Schizosaccharomyces pombe: one gene and its partners. Changing the gene in region 4 together with the main gene of any one other region gives a genetic interaction. Each region holds a gene or a part of one and is shown on either strand. Other genes may lie near its edges. The genes, in order: btb1, pfl9, SPOM_SPAC1399.02 and slm1.

Region 1 (6,974 bases), on a different chromosome or scaffold from region 4:
TTGGAGACGCTCTATTGCAACCGAACATTTGACCCAGACGGAGGCTAATTCTCGTCTTGCTTCCCAGCGTGTTCACCGTCCAAATTCTCCTCATTTGACTATCTATGAACCTCAATTGACTTGGTATCTATCCAGTTTACATCGTATCACTGGTTGTGTTGTCGCCGGTACTCTTTATGCTTTCGCTATGGGCTACTTGGTGGCTCCTCTCGCTGGATACTCTTTGGATACAGCTACCATTTCTGGTCTTATTCAGCAAGTTCCCACCTGGATCAAAGTTCCTGCTAAGTTTGTTATTTCTTATCCTTTGACTTTCCACATTTTTAACGGTATTCGTCACTTGATCTGGGATACCACCAAGGAGTTAAGTCTAAAGGGTGTCTATCGTACCGGTTATGCTGTTCTTGCCCTTTCCGTTTTGACCTCTGGCTATTTTGCGATGATTTAGGTGAATGGAAACAAACCTTATCTTTGCTCGTTTTGTAATTGCTTGTCACGGTTTCTCTAGTGAATTTACGAAGCAGCATCATTTCTCCTATAATTTTTCCACTACAATTGGATCTGTCCTTGATACACTATAAATTACCGTGTATATCGAATTCTTGTATTCATTCCGTACGTGCTTTGAATTTCTTTATGACCAAAGTTTCCTATTCAATTTTATTATTTTCAAATATTGAATTTTTAGCGTATGTAAAATGTGTGATTGGTATCGTGAAACAAAAGCTTAATAAATAATTCACCATGTAGCAAATATTTTTTCTTATACATATCTATTAAAGTATCTCTTCATAAGTTGAATAAATTAATGTCCTGAATTTTTTGTATATAGTCGTTGTTATGGTCATTTGACTGCACGTGCTTTTCCTTTCTTGTGAGTAGTCCTTGGTATATCAATAGGAAGAGATTTAAACTCCGCAGTGGACTCTGACACTTTGGAATCTTTTTCCTTTCTGTGCCTTCGTTGAGGTTGTTTAGAAGCTTGTCCCTGTTTTCTATTCGTAGAGGTATCTCTTTCAGTTTTAAGGATTCCAAGTTCTTTCTGTACTCTCAAACTCTCCTCCTCCCACCACTTTTGAAACTCCTCTTCCTGTTGTATCTCCTCAATTGTTTTTCTAAAAGATGATCTCCTCTTTTGACTCTCAATTTCTTCTTTCTGCTCAGTCATAATCTCCGAAATCGATAAAGGTTGGCTATTTTTTGGTAAAGAAGCAGATCGGGGAGATGGTTTAGTAAGTAGGTTCCAACTAGTTGGAGAACCATTGGAAATGCGCTTCTTCGATTCTTGATAAATTACTTGAGATGAACCTTCCTCTCGAGCTGCCTCTCTAAGAATACCATTAAATGACTTTTTCACTCCAGTTGATGACGAAAAACTGCCCCTCTGATGTGTTGCTACAGACCAAGGGTTTGAGTGATTCGATTTACCCAACTCGATATCGATGTGGCCAACATTTGTTTTGGAAATAGGCACTTGCTTTGAAAGCTCCTTTTTTTTCTCACGTTGGGATTTTTTAGTTGGAGCTTTCATAAATCTAGAATCAGACAAAACCGTAGTAGTTGAAGCATCAGCTTTCTCTTGCTCCAGCAATTCTCTAAGACTAGCTCTAGTAGTGTTGTTATTATGAGAAAGATTTTCCCTATTCCTCCATGGACTCGTTTTGTCAAAAGTAATTGTTGCAGTAACAGGTTGATCAGCCCCAGGACCATTTAATTGTGTTTTATCCCCTCCTGACGAAGCAGACTCTATATTGTTTTGAATTTCAACAGAAGCTCCTGCTGTCTTTGTAATGCTCGTAACGTTAACAACATTTGGTTTAGGAGACTTCTCCTCAGCATCTTCCTTATTTAATGAATCACTTTGATTACTTGAAGGAACAATTCCAGATTCTAAAATTACTGCTGAAGTGCTGCATCGACGATCTTCAAAAATAGACCGATAAGGGGAATCGTCCCATAATTGAGAACTTTCCTGGGAAAACAAGTATTCTCTGAGAACTTTAAGCTCATAATTTCTTTTTTCCATCAACACTGGATCTCTTATCAATAATCTATTAGCAATCTTGCTAGAAGGAAGATGTACTCGTTGATCAGAAAGCAATTCAGTTAAACGTTGAGCGACTTTTTTTAAATGGAAACCATCCCATTCACTTATACGATTTGCTTCCAAAAAGAATTCAATATTGTGACAAGCATAATCAATACATCGTGAATAAAGCTCCTCAGCGTGATAACTAAGTGAAAGATCCATTAGAGTAGGTAGAGTTTTCAAATTTAAAAAGCGAAGTAAGGATTGCTGGGCTATGCTTTTTAGTTCAAGAAAAAGAAGCTCGTCTGCAATAGACAAAATTTCGAACATAGTTTCCAACCAATTATGAAAATCGGATTCTTTCAAATCGTCAAAAAGCTCAACTTTTAAGTCACTGTATACATGACGAAGAACAATTGACATATGCTCAACAGTCAAATGAGACAAATTGACGGTTATTGGGATGTCAAAACTATTGCTTTCCATAGAAACAAATTGGAAATAAGAACTAAAGTATTCACTGCGGAGACTTAAAAAAAGACCATGTGCCTTGAGCTCTCCATCTTTAAGCTTTATTACTGTATCCATTGTTTCTTCGCATAAGACATAAAAATTATTATATAGTTGCAGAATGTCATTCGTTAAAGAAAGCAAAGGTTGGCGGGAAACACTAAACGGTAAAACCTCCGCTAAATGAGGTAACTCCAGTAAGTTTGCAAGTTTTGAAAGGTTTTCTTTTAAAGGTGAAAAGCGTGAATCAAGATGCCATGGAGAAAGCAATGTATCCGTGTACAAATAATGCAAAAGAATAGCAACCGCTAAAGGAGGAATATCTTCAACTCTAATTGTTGAATGAGATTGAGTGATTTCTTCAATGTAAATGATGTTGGAGACACTCGATTTCTTTTTTTGTAGCAATAATTTTCTCAAAAATGAAGATCGAGCACACAATATGAACTTATGTGAGTGGAACATAGAAGTACCACAATAAATAGTAACATCAGAAAATGATTGCTTATAATTTTCATAACTAGTAAGAATCGGTATAGATCCTTCAAAAAGTAGCTGCATCTCATTGCTGGATGCAGCGCGGTCTTCGTCAAAAATAGGGACTCCGTCTTCATCTTCGGGAGGAATCAAACGTGGTTGTCTTACATGTAAAAGGTGGTCATAGGGAAGTAGTGAGCGCAAAAGATCAATTAACATATTCGAAGGCTTGTAGATTGGCGGTGGAAGATAATCATTTCGAATTGCAAAAAATGATCCAGAAGCGCTCGCACGGACTCCAACAACCATTTGTAAATTTTCAATTCTATTATATTTGTATGGTCCTCTAGAATACGGGCTACTAGATGACTTTTCTCGCTTTTTTGACCTTAACTCCCGTTTCCAACAAGTGCCATTTCTAGTACATAGTATTAAAGAATTATCAGCGGTCCACGCAATATCTAAAGCTGCAAGGTCTGAAGATTCAAAAATCCATAATGGAGTAAATTTGAATGAAGTTCGTGTGGAATTCTTGGAAGAGGTAGAATCACGATCAAGTAAAAGCTTCATATCAAATTCATAGACTTCGCCTAGTTCTGTAAGCACGGCTAGTTTGTTTTCTGAAGCTAATAATTTTCTAACGTTAAATCTGGTGAGGGAAAGAGGATGCTTAGTTACCTTTAACGAACTACCAAAGTCAACGTTGAATGGCAATTTCACTTGATTATAATTGCAAAAGGCAATTATACTGTTGTTTTGTAAAAGGCATATCGTAGCACGAGTAGTACAAACGGCATGTATGACAGGCGATAATAAGCCAGCAACTCTCCTTGGAGTAGAAACAACTGAAATATGATCAGATATACCTAATTGGCCATTATTTAACCCCCAGCTGTAAATATCAGTGTCAGTCCAAGCAACGCTATAACTTTTTCCAGCCGCCATTCCAATTATCTGATAATCCTTGAATGCAGAGATACGCCTAGGGGTAATTTGAATTGGATCATCCTTTTTCAGTTCGTCATTAGAAAGTCCCAGTTCACCAGAACCATTCTTTCCCCACGAATAAATACTTCCGAACTTTGTAAGAGCAAGTGAATGGGTATGACTAACAGAAATCTGGATAACTTTATGAATGATACCAGGAATAGGAATAAAGTTATATTGAACGTCCGTGTTAAAACCTATTCTCCCTCCAGCACCAATACCACATACGTAAACATTTTGCGACGGCTCATCCGTTAGTACGACGCTGTGAAATTTGGAAGCCTGCACATCAAGGATTTTGTCTCGGGAAAAGAGTTGACCTGATGTGGGAGACTCTGTTTGGTTTTTCAGTAAAAACACTCTTTCTGGCGATGAAGGTTCTTTCCCATTTGCTATTCCGAGCGTATTGTTTACGTTAGTACCAAAGCCATAAAGTTCATTTCCTATTATCGGTAAGTCAAGAACCGGATGAATAGTGCTTGAAAGGACTCGTGATAAAAATTGAAATGGAGAAAGACCTTCTTTGTCTTTAATACGCAATGATCTGAAGGAGGGATCTTTTGATAAAAGCAAAGACGCTGCTTCCAAGTTGCCAACGTAGATTGCCCGATGCAACGCCGTATATCCAGATTCTTCATCTTGCACAAAAACATCAATGCCTTTATGCTGCAAAAGAGATCTAACAAAGGAATTTTTATTCTCAGAAACGGCGATGTGCAGCACGGTGCGTCCGTATCGATCTTTTTGGTTGATACGGAGTTTTTGTCCGCTCTTTTCCGAAAAACCCTTTCTAGGCTCTTTCACCTTTGAATCATCTTGCTTCAGTAGATTTTGGAATGAGCGAATGTCGTTGCAAAGGTAATACGCGAAAAGCAGATGACTCATTTAATCAATCGAGACTAAAAAAGGGCGCAATGTGAATTTATCATTTAATCAATCGATTACTCCATAAGAAATTTTCTCTCAAATCAATTAAAACGTTCCAGTTTTTTAACTTGACTGTTGCTGAAGAAAAAATGGAAGAAGAGTAGCAGTGGATGCTGGTAGTTGAATACCGACAGGTGCATTGATTTAAGCTATCGCTTAATATTTGAGGCAATTTTTGGGGCAATCTGATTTGATGAAATATGCCTGGGAGCATACTTTATTTATTCGCTTAAGCTGGAATGAAAGAGAGCATGTTACTTATGTATAAAATATATGAAAACAGAAAAAGAAAGAATAAAGGCATAAAAATGAATAAATAAATAAAAGTCATTGCCATCAAAAATTAATCTACATCTTTTAAAGTCATCTTTTTTTCTACCACTGTACTGATCTTTCGAGCGTGAAAGATCTTTCTACAATGCGGTCTGCACAGTGAATCAGTGGGATAAGGAAAGAAAAGACTAAATTCCCCTCTTCTCAAAGGCAAATGCTAAATAAAATCCTGCTGCTTCTTTTTCCTGTCCACCAATTCCACGGTGTCCTTCATTATCAACGACTTTCATTCGATCCATTAGGGGTCCATACGTTTCAGAGTTTTTCTCTTCATTTAAGATGTCCAAAAAAGGTTTTACCCATATTAATTCAAGATTGTATCCTTCGGCAACAGCACGAAAGGCTTCAAAAGGAACTACATATTCAGGAACATCGGTAACAGCATCCTCTAAATAAAAATAATATTGAATTCCATACGGAGGTCGAAAAGAGCGTGGAGGTGATTCAGGAAATCTGACTTTGTATATGTCATTTCCCCATTCTTTTTCTCCTGGTTTAAGCATTTTAATATGTTTGACAATTACATCGGAATTGGGAATCGTTCCTATCATTACTCCACCACGAGGAAGGCATTTAGAAACGTTCCCCAACAAGACCCTAACCTTTTCTTCGCTTTCAAATGCATAATGCATGCAAAACTGTAGAGAAACAACGTCAAATTTTCTTTGGTCTGGGGGAAGTAATTCGTTAATTGAGCTAGAAAAACAGTCGCCAGCGTAGAATAGTGCATCAAAAGAAGCATGCATTTCACGGTATCTCTTCTTGGCCTGATTTACGGAAACTTCAGCTATGTCAATCCCAATATATCCATCAATGCCAGCTTTGTCCCATTTAATTAAATCACCACCTTTTCCACATCCCATGTCTAGTACCAAAATAGGATAATCAGAAGCATGGGGTGCGAATTTTTGTATGAGAACAGATTTGATCCAGTTGTTAAACCTCTTTAGTTGAATAATAGGAGAAAATTGTCGTTTTTTATAACCCAAATCAGGACGCGCGTTATAGTGTGAACGTACCACATCCTGCGCATTACCATTGTTTTCATGCCTATTATAACCTCTGCGACCAGAGTTGTCATTGTTTTGGAAGTAATCGCGACGCCTTGGTTGTTGTTCAATTACTCGATTCATTTGTGCAGTAGGTCTCGCATATCTGCGATTTTCTGTTGGAGGCTGTTCCTCATGCACTCGGGAGTTCGAGCTGCTCATATCTCTTATTATAAATATTATTATAAATAAATGAGAATAGTTTCTTTCAAAGGTTAACGATCTTTCCATCATATGATGACTATCCATCGATCACAAACTTACATACAAATAATTTTCTTCAAAATAATTCAAAAAACAGAAACTTCTTTAAAAAAGATCAAAAACATATGACTTTTAAAACTTGCTTTACTGTCTTAGAGAAATTAGACTATATTCAATAGCATGAGGTTGCAGTGTGGTTGGTATACTGGCGAGAAAAGTAGATGTTGCAATACGAAGTGGATTACCAGATTCTTTACATTACCACAGCTAAGATATATATAATTTGTTGACAATGTTTTCAATTCAGCCAAATTTAGTTTACATATAAAAAACGAACCTGCTTCTAAATAAATAAATAAACAAAACTTGAAATTTTGGGCGACTAATCTACTACTGCCAGATTGCAACAAGAAGTAATCATAAAACAATGATAGATACATAAAGTAGATATTTCATTA
Region 2 (4,302 bases), 960 kb from region 4:
AACGCAGCATATGGTTTAGATTTTTTTTTAAATTTAGAAACATTTTTAAAAAAAACTGTTTTGATTTTCTTATCCTTATTGCTTACAATTATTAATAAGTAAAAGAGACTTTCCACAATTTAAATTCTTGCTTAAGTTTTCTTTTTTAGTAATAATGAGTAAAAAAATTCTGAATGGTCTAATATTAAACTCAAAACAAGCGCTAGACTAGTCTAGCTCCTTATCTTTAATTGTCATTTTCCTTATACAAAACTTGTCTATAGTTACTATTTAGATCTAATATTTTTTTAAGTGATTAAATTTCACTTAAGGAAATTATAACCAGTTTATCCAAACTTATCTTTAAAACCGGCCACCACTATTTTTTACGAAAAGCATAATCTACAAAATTTACTAAAATTTATCCTTTCCTGTTCAATTTTAGTACGGTTTACCTAAACCTAGTTATTTAACAAATATCAATGATTACTATGAAAGCAATTAATTTGAACTTAGATTAAAATATGCATTCCTAATACCACTAGTTATGATTAATTTAAAAAAAAAAAAAATAAATAAAATACAAATTTTGTTTACGAAAGTAATAATTGTGCCGATAACTTGGAACAGTATTTTATTAGTAGAGCAATCAATTTCTAGTGGAAAAAATAATTAAGAACTATTTAAATATCCCTATTTTCAGTTTACAGCAGAACTTGAGAAAAATATGAAATCCGAGGAAGTCAACTTCTTGACATCTTCAATAGGGATTGATAAAGGATTTCATGGATTGTAATTTTAAAATATTATATCAAATGAATGTAAAAAAAATTATATGTATGACCTGAAATACAAAAAATTAAACGAGAGTATGTGCAATTCTAAATTTGCTGCTTCAACTAATACAGTTGAAGTGTAACATCATTGGCCCTAAAATTTCTTTCGTCGGTTGATGAAACTTCTGTATCATATTCTTGTGAAGTCATCCATACTCTTCCATTGTTATCTACATGAAAGTGTAGTGGCTCATTATTTCTTGATTCAACAGGAGTAAATATGCCATCGCTATTTTTAATGAGATTCCAAGCACTTGAAAAACCATTGCCTATAATTGGATCTTCAATGTATACAGTGTAAGACGGTCTTTGACAATCACATGTTAATACTCGTTGAATAGTGGAATCATAGTAGAAAAGGTTTAGTCCCTCGTTGTCTCCATTAGTTGAAGCAAACATATTCCCCTCTCGACCGGCACCATTAGTTCTCACGGGTGCGTTTGGATCCATGTACACGTAGGAAGGGCTGATTTTATCATTGTCTATTTTAAGATGGAATGAATTTTCAGGACTGCATCCACAGGACGGTGTGATAACCTCCACTTCACCTGACTGTGTTCCAGAAGCTGTTCGCACTGTAGTTGTTGCGACAGGATAACTGGATCCAGAAGTCAATGTAGTTGTGAAAGTACCAGCAGTAGGGATTACCACTTCAACGGTATCAACAGGTGTGTTTTGACCGGTAATGGTAGTAGTATAGAGTTGCGAACCAGATGTTATAGTAGTCGTAATAGTGGATGTGATGATAGACTCAGAGGATACCGAAGTTTCATCGATATTGTTGCTAGATACGCCAGATGTCGAGATAGATGTTGGATAAATCGTTGTAGTTCCCGGTGTTATACCATTAGTGTAAATAGTAGTGAATAAAGGGCAAGCTGTTGAAGAAGCTTCACCGCCTACTGAATTGGTATCTTGACTTGATTCAAGAACAGCTTGGTTTACGCTTCGCTTTTGTATCTGTGTAAAATTATATGTGTTCGCGTTAACTAATAACAAAGGCGCCAGAGCAAAGCTAAAAATTATGTACTTCACCACATTCATTGTTTATAGGAGAAAAATTTTTAACGACTTCTGATCGCTAAATATGAACCGAAAAGACGTGTGAGAAGGCCTGTTCATTTATACAAAAACTGCGCATATAAAACCAGTACCCAAAATTTCGGAAACCCCCTTATTGTTAATCCCATAGTTATTTTTATTCGAATTCTCAATATCAAATTAAAAAATTTGAGTTCTATAAAAAGATCATTATCGGAACTTCGAAATTAATGTAGTCTACTATTTATACTGCTTCTGAGAAACTTAGTTACTTTAAGACAAGGCAATGCACATTTGTTAACGCGGCTCGCATGTTTTCGTAGTAATTCACATACCGATCGAGTTCGCAATATATGCTAGCAACAGAAATTGACGCCTCTCGTTAATTTTCTTAAGAGTCTATTATTAACCTACTTCTCTTTCAGTACAGTCGCCTTAATGAATATTTTTTTGATAAAACTACATTCATATTATTGATTTGATACTATGTAGCAAATTTCTTATAAAACACCTATACTCACTGCAGACAGTCTGGAGGCAACTTAGCACTGAAAACATGTGATTCGAAAAGGTAGTCAAATTTTTTTGTTAACATTTTAATTACTAGGTTGTTAATACTGAAATAAAAAGATGAAGCAAATCAAAACATACCTATCATTTTCAAAACATTTTAGAGTAGTTAAACCGGCATCACTCATTAATAGCCATGAAAGCTTTGGCTTATATAAACCAATATTGATGCAACGAGCACCGATTAAAGCTACAAGTGAATCGAAAAGCTTTTATCAATCGACTGCCCTCCACAGTAAATTGAACTAATTTCAAAAAATTAAAGAGTTAGTTATTATAAAAGACTAGTTTTAATTAAGATGTTTAACGGTAGCAACTTAATGCATGCCGATATAGATATATATATTAATGATTTAACGTTACAGTTGCTGAATAAATGATTAACTGATATTTTTAAAATTATGAAAAAAATGAAAGCATCAACTACATGATACATAGATTGAATAAATAAACCAATATATATCACAAATTTATTCAGAGTGATAAACCGACAAAGCATGTATATTTATCAGAACAACCATACAATTGTACCGGCAATAAAATTAAATCATATAAAACACTAATTATTCTCTTGATACTTTGCTGCGCATTCCAAATAAAGAAATACACGAAATTTTCCCATGATATTTACACTGATATTATTTCGGACGAAATGTCAGTCATTTTAACCGAACACTTTACTAAGAGACAATGATTTATCGATTGCATTTCGTTCGCTTATCATTTAAAGTTCATCTATGCAACTGAGGACGTTTAAAATTTAGCATTTTAAAAAAAAAATTTATTCCTTTTTTGAGACATTAATTTATTAAGAAATACCACTCTTAACTTTTCTTCTTTGCCTGAGCCAAATATCAAAAAAGAAAAAAACTCCATATGATTTAGGTTGTTTAATGAAATTTCGCTAGACAATTCTTAATTGAAAACTGCTCGGCTATTTTATTGTTTAGCATTGAGTTATTTTTTTATAACAAAATAAAGAGCTGAATCCATACTTAGCGTTGAAGTCTTCTTAATTTTTATATACGCTAAGACATACTATTAATATTTGGAATGTCAATATAGTCCAGATCAATGACTTTGGACCTGGTAAATTATTTGCAATTAGTATACTATTATTAGAAATATTTCATCGTAACAAATTCTATGAATCGGTATTTGTTTTTAAGTACGTTTGATAGAATTGGATAGTATATTTACAGGTATAAAACGAATCCATTAAGGTTTTGTCTTCAAATAACACCAAAAACATAAATTCTGTAACAGACTACTGAGTACTTCTGCATTTTATTTCACAAACTATCGAAAAGCTGTTTATACGAACCTTAATGCATCAAATTACAATAAGATTGAAAAAATTTATCAAATATTAATTGACCAGTTCAATCAACTTAGCATTAAAACTTATTTCTTGAGCATCACTTCTTATTGTCAATACAAAGGATTAACGCCTTTCCTCGTTTTCTCAAAGCTTGAACTTAAGTATCCCACTGTAATCCATAATTCAATTGTGTTCCCGTTAAAGTACGTCCAAAGATTGAAACTTCACTAAATCCTAATACCTAGCTGTTTAGCTCGAAATTCGGATAAGAAAAAGGTTCATCGTTAAAAAACGATCCGCTATATTTAGCAGTCCCGTCACTTCTGTCATCTGGACCCACGGGAACGGCGTGTGATACCTACCCGCTAGGTACAAACGGTATATTGTTTAGCGTTCATAAACCCTTACAAACCAAACTATATAATCTATTAAAAAACAAAGCAGATTCCCACAGAACACCCTCGGGTGAGCAAACTTGGTTTGACACTATTAAAAACTTACTTAAATCGGCCTGAAATACACTAAAGCAAGTTATTACCAATTTATCTTTTATTC
Region 3 (5,618 bases), 2.7 Mb from region 4:
TAGTTTGCTTGGAATAGGTCGATAACGGGTCGTCCATTTCGTCTTTCAATATAACAAGCTATTAACTATACTTGTTTTCATTCATTTTTTTTGATAGGAAGCTCACCGCGGCAAGCCTTTTTGTAGTTTTCTGTTGATTTCGTGGTTTTGTTGTCGCATCTATTTTTTTGAGTTTAAAGTTGTCAAGATAAAAATAAGGCCAGCAGTTGAACACATCGCTTAATCTTATCAGTTAGTTTTTCACGTAAGTAAAAAGAGTTTTCGACGAAGATTCTCAAGTAGTGTTTTGGTTTTAAATTTTTCTAAAAAGAAATGATATTAGAATGCCGCGCTTCAAACGGCTTGTTCCACCAAAAAGGTATAGTCTCAGAAAGTGCGATGATTTTTTTATCCATCGTTACCTTGTTCGGGAATGCTGCTACGGTCTGCGCAGTATGAAAACAAGTGAACAACTGATCAATCAGTAAACATAAGAAATCCTTAGTTGCGCAGTTTAGAAAAGATGCAACTATAGCACCTTTTGCAAGCAAAGCAATTGAGCTAGGAAGAGATAAATGATTTTATTAAAAAATATTAAAATTAAGTAAAGAGTAATCCCTACACCGTAAACCAAAATAAAAAAGAAAGAGAGAGGGAGAAAAACTAGTAAACATTGTTTGCGACAGATCATGGCAGTAATCATGAATTTTTAACACTTTTAACTCCTTATGGCGAAAGATTTTGTTTTAACATGCAATACACTTTAGCTCCCTGCCTCTAATGCGAAATGAAGAAATGTAGTGTAAAAACAAAAAGCAGATTAATTATTTTTGTAAACTTATCGAAGAAAAAATCATTAGCATACAACAATATCAGAAAAAAATTATAACAATCAAGTTCGATCCTTGGTTAAAAAAAAAAAAACCGAAACAAACATTAAACACTAGTAATAGAAAACACAATGTTTTTACCAGTCAAACGTAGATAAAAAAAATCAAGTAAATAGACAATGACCTTATTCTGCAATGTAAAGAAAAATAAATTTAATAAACAGTTGTTTTGGGATTCTTCAACAAAAGCTTTTTAAAAAATAAGTTTCAAGGAGCATCTTTAAATCCCTTATCCTTTTCTTTGTACTCCGTGACGCTTTGAGATAATTTCTCTTGCTTTGTAAAAAACGACAGAAGCATTCCTACTCCTGCAACTGGACAATTTACAATCCAGATTGTACGAATGGCATTAGCATAGACATTGAATACAAAGTTTCTCTCGCTTACGCTGGGAATTGAAGCAATTTGAGAGTATGAAAGCCCTGTAGAATATTCCGTTCCTTTTAGAAGTGTCGTAAGTTGCTGATCATAAATTACCGCTCCTATCGATATTCCCACAGATGCACCCATATTCCTTAGCAGCATAAATGCGGAACAAGAAGTCGCCATCAAAGCAGGAGGTACAGAAGCCTGAATAGCAATAAGATTGGGTTGGAACAGGTTGCCAATTCCAACAGCTGTCAAAGCCAAGAATCCCATGGTACGTGGTATAGGTGTGTCATAGTATATTGCGATCATACTACCGGTACCAGCTAATAAAACTATCCATCCTCCAATCATTGGATATCGATAATTTTTCAATTTTCCTATTCCCATACCACTAATGGCAGAAACAACTGAAGATACAACTGCCAGAGATAAAGTATGAACACCAGACATTAACGGACCATCACCCTTGATGCTTTGAAAGTAGATTGGAATGTAATAAGTCACAGTTGACATGATATAATAATGTAAGAAGGAGGTTACCATCACAGAAGATAAAGAGAGTGTTTGAAACGCCGAGGGAGCAATAATTCTAGTGCGGGTGGTATAAAGTTCATTGACGACAAAACCGGCAATGCAAAGGATACCAAAAATTAAATAGCACAAGACATTGGCATGGGCCCAATGTCCTGTTGTAGATCCGATGTTCAAGCCAAGTAAAAATAACACAACACCAGTCGTAATGGTTACAATGCCCACAAAGTCAAAATCACGTAAAAACACGCAAAACGAAACTGTAGGCTTGGGTACAAGATTGAGGAAAAAAATCAAGAGTGCAAGCGAAAGACCACCAGTAGGTAGATTAATGAAGAAAATCCAGCGCCATGTAGTATTCTGTGAAATTGCACCTCCAATTAAAGGACCCATAACAGAAGCAACCCCCCAAGTGACTCCCATACAACCTGTGTAATAAGGTCTGGTCTGTAAAGGAGTAATGTCAGCTATAACGATTGTAACTAAAGACATAATACCCCCACCGCCGATGCCCTGCACAGCACGGCATAGTACAAGCCAAAGCATATTTTGGGCAGCACCACACATGGCACTACCGAAGAGGAAAAGAACAATGGAAGTATAGAGGACAATTTTCCTACCGACTACTTCACTCATAATACCACAAAATGGAAGGATAGATGTTTCTGCCAATGAATAAGCAGTACCAATCCACGAATACGATGAACCGCCGTCGAGATTTGCTACAATAGTGGGAATAGCCGTAGTAATGACGGTTTGATCCAAGGCAGCCAAGAAAATCGACAACATAAGTCCTGGAATAACGATGTACAATCGATTGGAGGGCAACACAAGGGTGAAATCAGGAGAATCATTTTTTTCAGACGAGATTTCATGGGTTGAAAACCGAGACTTTAGAGAACCGGCACCATAAATTTGATCTTGATTCTTGAAAGAAAAGGCTTTCGAGTTTATAGACTTTATTTCGTTTGCTTCATCAAGCGCAGTTGGATACCAAGCTACTTCACTGCCTGTGGTATAGAGTTGTAAACTCTTTGGGGAGGCCAAATTACGATTTGGAGAAGTAGAAGGATTCATTATGTTTAGTAACTTTATAACACAAATACACTAGGGAAAAAAATCCGTAAGGAAGAGGGTGAATGCAGCTAGGAGAAAAAGAGATATTGCTAGGAAAAAAAATAATATTGAAGGAAAGAATATAAATAATCAAGACAACGAATGCAATTTTAATGAAACAATTGAGTAAGTCTGTTACAATCAGAAAGGGGGGAAATTTTAACTAAATCACAGAATAAAAACACTACTTCCAGGATGCCTAGTTTTGGTTATGGTAGAGTTTTTTTTCTACTTGCCTGGAATGAGTACGTTTTGAGAAAACACATAGATAGGAAATTATAAGGAAGGAAAATTGACGCGGCTTTAAGTGCACATATTCTTAGTTTAAAAATAAGAAAATATGCACATTAGGCCAAGTAATTACCGAGTAAGCATTTTCATGTAGAAAATTTGAATACGATCTTTAGAGGCAATATTTATACAGGATTTTTCTAACGATGGAGCAAAGGGAGAGCAAAAAAAAAAAAGCCGCGCTAATATCCGGAAAATAGGGACACTGAAATAAGGAGGTTCGTCGAGAAAAGTCTACAGAGTGTCTATGCATAAGAAAATGAAGGGAAGTCGAAAAAAGCAGGCATTTAAAAACGACGAGAAAATGAATGAAGAGTATTCCTTTTTGAGTGAGCAAAAACGATAATGCCGTGAAGAAATGAGCAAATTTACCAAGATAAGAGGATATCGGGATAGTTGATTAATATTGATATAGATGTAATGACAGCAATGTATAGTATTATAAATTTGTAATCTTTTAAAATGTGAGGAATGTAGAAATAATCGTAAACATGTATGATATTATAAAGGGAAAATAGGGGATCGGAGTAAACAAGTAAGTGAATGAAGAGAGAGAGGGTTGACAAAATATTGCATATCAATGGAATGGTTAAGCAAACATTGAAATGAGTAAGTAAGCAATGAAATGATTAAGAAAAGTTTTAATGAGTCAAAAGAATGTTTGTGGATCAACAAGGTGCTTTTGAGGGTCGATAAAGTGCTCCTTTTAAGGATTTTGTAACAATATTACAATAACGCTTCTATATGTCTTTAGTTGTACGTCTTACAAAATCTACAGCAACGATTTTTTTTATGGATTGAAAAGTGTGCGTATGTACAGGCCTGTAATACAACTCTTTTTTTCAAAGAATTGCAATGTTTATTGTACATTTGACTTTTTAGTCTGACTGGCTGAAACAGCATGTCGGAATTGTTAATGGCCTTTACCTACTATTTCCCACTTTAGCGATGCTTTATTATACACTATCCTAAGATACCGAGCAAGATGCAGAAATGCAGAATTCCCTGATTAGAAGAAAGAGAAGTGATGTTTTTAAAAAAAAAAGTGAATTCTACTCACAAACCTTTTTTTTTTTTTTTTGGGGGTTGTAAGACTGTAGCATCATATTATTTGGAAAGATTTCATCACTCACACGGTAAGGAAGGAAGGAAGAAGGGAGGTGGGTATAGCGGAAGTAGCCACCTGCACACTTGGACGAAAGGGGATTGAGTGAGGAAAGGCCCGAATTTTCGAAGGTTTGGAATTTGTCGAATGTGCAGAGGAAAAGTGCAGCTGAATAAGCAAGGTGAATCTAGGAAGGTGGGCTAGAAGAAAGTGAAAACTAAGCAAGTGTTTTGGGTATTTAGTTTTACAAAGCAAGCTGGAGAGGTTTAGAGAGGCAGTAGGTAACTCAATAATAATGCGACCGGGGGGAGGGAGGATTAAAAAAGATGGATATAATAATTTTTACTCATTTTGCGGTTCTTTTGCATATAAAGAACTTTAAACACCACGCTGTGAAAGACGAGTGACATTGATAACTGGAGTGAATGGGATTGCATCGGTCTTTAATAGATATTACGTTTTAAAGCACTACAAGCACTAGTCAAAGTTGACCATTACTGACAAGTAGCGTAGATAAACAACGTAGGTGGGAAGGGCACACTAGAGCGTATATAAGGAGAAAGAACGCATGTAAACGTTAAAGGGATATAGTGTGATGCGCTGCACAAACATTGATTAATTTATCCAACCAAAAACCACGCATGGTAGAGCGATTTGTTTACATTTCAAGGAAGCGCTCGAATGGATTGATTTTTGATATTTGAATTATGAAACAAAAGGATCGGTTGTTTGATGAGAGTAAGATTCCGTGATTGAGGAGGTTTCTAGCTTTTCTAAGTATGGTAAACCAGCAATTCCCACTTTGCATATCCTTCGTTGGTCGGAAAGAGTGGGTGAGGGTGCCTTTTTCGTTTACGTGTGAGCGATAGATAGGGGAACGAAAGTTCGCGGACTTTTTTGTCAGCAAGTCTCGATAAGATAGCGCAGTGCAGTGTAGGCGGTATGGTGGAAGGGAGGAAGAGTGTGTGTGAGAGAGAGAGAGAGACGGTATGAGAGAAGGATGGAAAAAATGGAGCAGGGAAAGCAGAAACATCGTTCGATTTGAAACAAAAGGAAAAGTATAAAGAGAGAAGAAAGTAGGAAAGTAATGAGAGTAAGAGCAGTAATAGTAACATAGGTATTGCTGGATACAATGGGATACAATGGGTAGAATGTTGATATTGTAGATGTAACTATATGTGTAAGTGTAGCTTGTCGCATAGCAAGTATAGTAAGCAGGCTGACAGAAACACAGACAGATAAATACACAAATAGACACAAAGACTATCCATCTACATCGTTTCCAACTTCAACTTCTGCAACTGCAACTCCCACTTCAATTTCAATCTCATTTTCAT
Region 4 (4,806 bases):
ATGTCGGTATGTTTTTTGTGAACTTTACTGCTTTAAATTAAATTGTTTAGCAAATTTCGACGAATTTACAATCTTTGCTACCTTGAAATTCATTAAGCGAGATGATTTTTAAAGTTAGAGTTTCGCTCGTTATTATAGCATCGACGTAATTATTCTCAACCTGCGCTTACAGCAAACGATGCTAACCTTTTCGTTTCCAATAGAAAGTAAATTAATTAATAAAATTTTTGAAAGGATGAAAAGAGTAATAAATACTTTCATTTTACACATATCAAGATAGCTGTGATAAATTAAACGATCAACTTCAAAAATCCTGAAATGCTCAATTAAAATTAGTGTTCTTTGATAATATAAAAATCTAGAAAATATTTTTCTCGGGTTTGAACACGAGTATATTCGAAATTTGTCCAGAAAGTACCGAAAATGCTATAAACAGTAATACAATTCTTCAGTTTTCCGTTTCCAATTAAAAGAATAATGCCAATAAGGAATAATAGAAGTACTTTTCATAATTAAGGGAATTTACTTCACTAACGCGCTCAGCTAATTCACAAAAACCAATAAAAGTATGTTAGGCACTTTATTTACAAGGTATATACCATCATCCCAGCTGCTAAATTAATAAACATGAAACGAGCGGTTGAGATATATCGGAATGAAACCTGCTACATTAAAAAGTAACTTTCCCGATTGAAACAGTCATCAGCCACAGGTATGGGTGAACAGAAAATGTATTTATTCTGAGTTTATATATAATACCTATATATTTGTTGACTGGTGTTTCAAAAGTTCACTATATATCAAGAAACACTATCATGAATTCATTACAGTAACAGTAAAATGGTTCACAATCAACATTCAAGTGCTTTAAACGGGAATCAAAAAGATACAATTAAGACGGGTATGGGGGAGTTACAAAGACTGCCATTTAAAACACAACGGCAGTGTAACAAATATACATGAGCACATTTCGTACCTAATTTGCGAATATACAATCTTTATACATTCCAAGCATTATGACCAGTAGCACTAGCGTTGTAAATAAAGTTGTTGTTGGCGCCAGAATTTCCTTGGCTATCTGCGTATGAGGGAATTTGTTCCGAACCATAACTTCGATTTGTATTGACAGCAGAGCTTGGTTGCGACATACGGGTATTCATCGTAGAACTTTGACGCTCGACGGCTGGACGGAAGTCATTTGGATCATCATCATCATCATCACTGTCGGAAACAGCTGATGGACCATTTGCGTTGCTTAAAGGTTGTATATAGTTCACATTAGCAATATGGGTATTCAACGCTTCCCACCATCTCATTAGTTCGGTGTTGTTAGAAGCGCGAAACGCGTAATCGTTTCGCGCGCCAAAAATTTTCTTAGTAGCATCCTTGCCAGTTATTTTAAACTTGGGTTTCTTCTCAGAAGGGCGACCGATCAGACAATCAGGTATGTAAAGGGCGAATTCGGGTTCAGGATCTTGAAGTGAATCAGAAGATTTAAATTCGTAAAGATAGCCAGAATGTGTAAAGGCATAAAAACCTCTTTGTTTTTTCTTTAAAAAACTTGTTTTACGAATTAAATAACCAGCCATGATAGGTACAGTGGGTTGGTCATTCTTACCAGGATATTTTATAGCATCAACGCTGCGGGGGGGAACAGAGCCATGAATAAATTCCGGCTCACGCTTTGCGTATCCGGTCCACTCGCCAGCAAGGGTTTGTGCTTCTGATACGCGAACAACTTCTTGGAGGTGATTAATAGCTTTGACATGGGTTTGATTCATCATGCCCTCAAACTGCTTAACCGTGTCTTTAATTTTTGCGATAAGGTTTTGCTCGAAACGAAAAGAAAATTCTTGAAGCTGTGCCACTGCTACGGAGTGATTGTTCTCTTCTTGAACTTGTCGAGCCAAACAGTTTAGCACTTGTCTATCTACAATAAAAGGGTCGTTCTTAATGTTTACAGTAGGTGGACTGGATGCTCTCCATGGTAAAAGAGCCCGATCTAGTAAGGAAAGATACTTTTGAGTTTCCGCACGCTGCTTTTCAACTACTTTCACACCTTTTGTACCTTCCGCTGCGATTTTCTTACAGTGTTCACGAAGGTCTTCACGAAGAAGTTCTAATATATTGATGATAGTACCTGGCAACTGGATAGATATTTGCTCGCTATCCGAAGCGATGGCAGCCGTTTGGTCTCGAAGCGCTGCAAAAATATCTTGAATTCCGTGTTCTTCAAATACATTAGCATCTTTGTAAGGATGGACAATAACTTTGCTCAATTTCATATACTCCTTTGCATTGTTTTTTGACGTTGACTCTAATTGCTTAAAGAATGCAATCAGATTTTCCACCAAATGTCTCCATCCTTCAAACCGATAAGTCAAGGAGTTGCAAAGTCCCATATATGCGTCTGTGTTTGGGACTGCATCTCCGTTTGAAGCCTGGTTTGGAATCTCCGTCCTGGTTGGAAATTCCGATTTCCCTGAAAGTTCCATCTTGTTGGTTCTTGGTGAAGCTTTTTTGACTTGGAACTTGTTAAAGAAAACGATCTGCTCGTATGACGCCAATCACCCTCCTGAAGGGGTTTGCTGTACCGATATAAATGTTCTGGGTTGGTATTCTGTTTAACGTAACTCATAATAGGAAATTGGTGGTACTTGAAGTAAAGGGTTTTGTTGGAAATAGAACATTCAGTGCTTAAGAAAAAATGTCAAAGAAACAGGTGAAGCAAAATTTGAACTTGCAATGTATGTTCGACTTGTATATTTATAAAATTATCGACCATCATCAAACAAAGGCTTGATATGCTCGTTAGTTATGGCAAACAATAGGTGCTTGCTTGGGAACATAGGTATTTTGTACCTTTAATGAGCAATTGATACATTATTGGGAAATTATAGTTGATAGGGAGTTTGAACCAAGGAAAAGGTTTTTCTTCTTTTATTCAAACGTTTCAATTTCTTTGGTTCTGCTATAAGGAAGTAACTCAAGAAACTGCCTCCGTTGGACTGGATAAATATGTCTATTTTCTTTGAATAGGGAAAAGCAGGAAGAATGATGGAACTAGTAGAAATCAAGTTTTGAGGTCAGAAAATATAAATATTATACTTTGTACTCCTTTTCAAAAATACTTAATTAGTCGAATTTTCGCCATTTTTCTATGTCGCTAAGCACTCATATTGCAAATTTTTTACTAAAAAAATAACGCTATGAAAGAAATTAAACATAGATAGGTTTTAGCTCTTTTTTTTTTCCTACTCAACTTATCCAACCTAATACACTAAAGTACCTTTTGTTTACATTTTCTAATACTGTACTTCGTTGTTTTGCGTTATATAAATTGTACGAGTCTTCGACACAAGTGATGAAGGACGATTGCGCTGCGGCACTATAAGCTGCTGAGATGCAATAAAGGTGTCTTGGTATTCCAGAGCATCCTTCCAGCACCCAAACATTTGCATAGTTCGTATTTTACCCTTGAAGGAGGGAATAGCATTCGCTGTGAAAAAAAAGAAGTTACTTTTTTGATTTCGTTTTTGAATCTCGTGTGTTTACTTCGTCTGTATTGGGAAAACCAGTGTTGTATGAAACTCGGATTGTTTGTTTTTCCAAATTATTCCTTTCTACGCTTTGTTAATCATTGAGGTGTTTTTCTTGCATTTCTTTCATTTCCCTTTTTTGATCGGAGTAATTAATTAAATTACTTTAATATTCCAAGGCGCCCCATTGTTGCTGTGCTGTTTGACGGACGGTCGGCTGTGCTTGTTTCTGAGCGGATCTGTTCATGAAATTGCTTTTTAAATTCCTTAGTTGAAAACTGTTATTTCCATAAAGCTATTCCATGCGGCCAAAGGCTATTTTCTGATTTGTATTGACGAATTATCCGTCTAGTACCCAACCTTACTAGAATTGGAACATTTTATTTATTTTCCTTTTTTTTTTTAAAAACGAAAAAAAACTGGACTTTTGTTTCGCAAATACGGATTGGCAACGGTGGGAAGATTGAAAGAAGACCTATTGTGATTATTACTCACGTATTGGGGTGTCTCATTTTCCTTTGTAAATAATATTTGAAACCATTTTATTCTACTTTTCTTTCTTTCTTCTCAAATTAAAGTATAATAAAGTACTTGTTTATTCAAATCCTTTGATTTGCCCCTTTTTCTTTTTTTGTTTTTACTTTGCTTTTCATTAAATATTTTCAACTTGTTCATTTCTAGGATACATTTTGAGAGCATTGCAACTTCAATTTCCTCTGCAACTTAACTTCCTATTTCTTCTTATTTTTTTAATTCTCTCACAAACTTGGCATACGATTCCTTTCTTTCTTTTTTATTTGATTAATTCTGTCAAACTATTTTTTCAACTGATTGGTTCTCTTTCTTTTCTTTTTCCTTTTAAATAAAAAATAATGTCTAGTTCTTCAGTTTCTAATACTCTATCCATTGAGACTAAAAGTGACCCTAAAGATCCTGCTTTCGTTGCTTCTCAGGAATCTACTGAATGTAATGAACATGACACAACCCAGCTATCTGGCTCTTCATCTGAACCACTTGAGAATAATTCCTCTTTAACTCGCTCAACAGATGATCCGTCGGTAGAAATTCGTTCGAAGTTGGTGAGCCCTGATAATGAAGCTAACTTATTGAGTGATCAAAATATCACAATATCAAATGAAAACAACAATGAAAACGATACCACAGAAGAAGCGGAGACTTCTAGCGGTAACGAAGCTGCCGATGATGAGGATTCCTCCTCTGATGCTCAGTCATCTGTCCCTTCTTTTTCGGAAATTCATGATGGGAT

Evidence for each region.
Region 1: mutations in slm1 (region 4) and btb1 together harm fitness more than expected from each alone (negative genetic interaction), as found in Schizosaccharomyces pombe (one large-scale study listed by BioGRID).
Region 2: mutations in slm1 (region 4) and pfl9 together harm fitness more than expected from each alone (negative genetic interaction), as found in Schizosaccharomyces pombe (one large-scale study listed by BioGRID).
Region 3: mutations in slm1 (region 4) and SPOM_SPAC1399.02 together harm fitness more than expected from each alone (negative genetic interaction), as found in Schizosaccharomyces pombe (one large-scale study listed by BioGRID).

The regions. Positions count from the first base shown.
Region 1 is NC_003421.2:129,431-136,404, reverse strand, and holds btb1 (BTB/POZ family ubiquitin-type ligase substrate adaptor Btb1), read right to left. Parts: upstream 5,011-6,974; 5' UTR 4,889-5,010; coding exon 845-4,888; downstream 1-844. Other genes in the region: sdh3 (succinate dehydrogenase cytochrome B subunit), read left to right, coding at 1-448; mRNA 5'-cap (guanine-N7-)-methyltransferase Pcm1, read right to left, coding at 5,392-6,474. UniProt on the Schizosaccharomyces pombe protein: Probable substrate-specific adapter of an E3 ubiquitin-protein ligase complex which mediates the ubiquitination and subsequent proteasomal degradation of target proteins.
Region 2 is NC_003424.3:5,525,249-5,529,550, reverse strand, and holds pfl9 (DIPSY family glycoprotein), read right to left. Parts: upstream 1,860-4,302; coding exon 879-1,859; 3' UTR 592-878; downstream 1-591. UniProt on the Schizosaccharomyces pombe protein: May be involved in agglutination during conjugation or other aspects of colony formation. Induces flocculation when overexpressed.
Region 3 is NC_003424.3:1,845,045-1,850,662, forward strand, and holds SPOM_SPAC1399.02 (transporter), read right to left. Parts: upstream 3,102-5,618; 5' UTR 2,847-3,101; coding exon 1,077-2,846; 3' UTR 604-1,076; downstream 1-603. Other genes in the region: SPOM_SPAC1399.06 (uncharacterized protein), read right to left, coding at 4,940-5,314.
Region 4 is NC_003424.3:4,562,896-4,567,701, forward strand, and holds slm1 (cytoskeletal signaling protein), read right to left. Parts: upstream 2,512-4,806; 5' UTR 2,496-2,511; coding exon 999-2,495; 3' UTR 714-998; downstream 1-713. Other genes in the region: zds family phosphatase type A regulator Zds1, read left to right, coding at 4,412-4,806. UniProt on the Schizosaccharomyces pombe protein: Effector of the TORC2- and calcineurin-signaling pathways. Mediates actin polarization via inhibition of calcineurin-dependent transcription.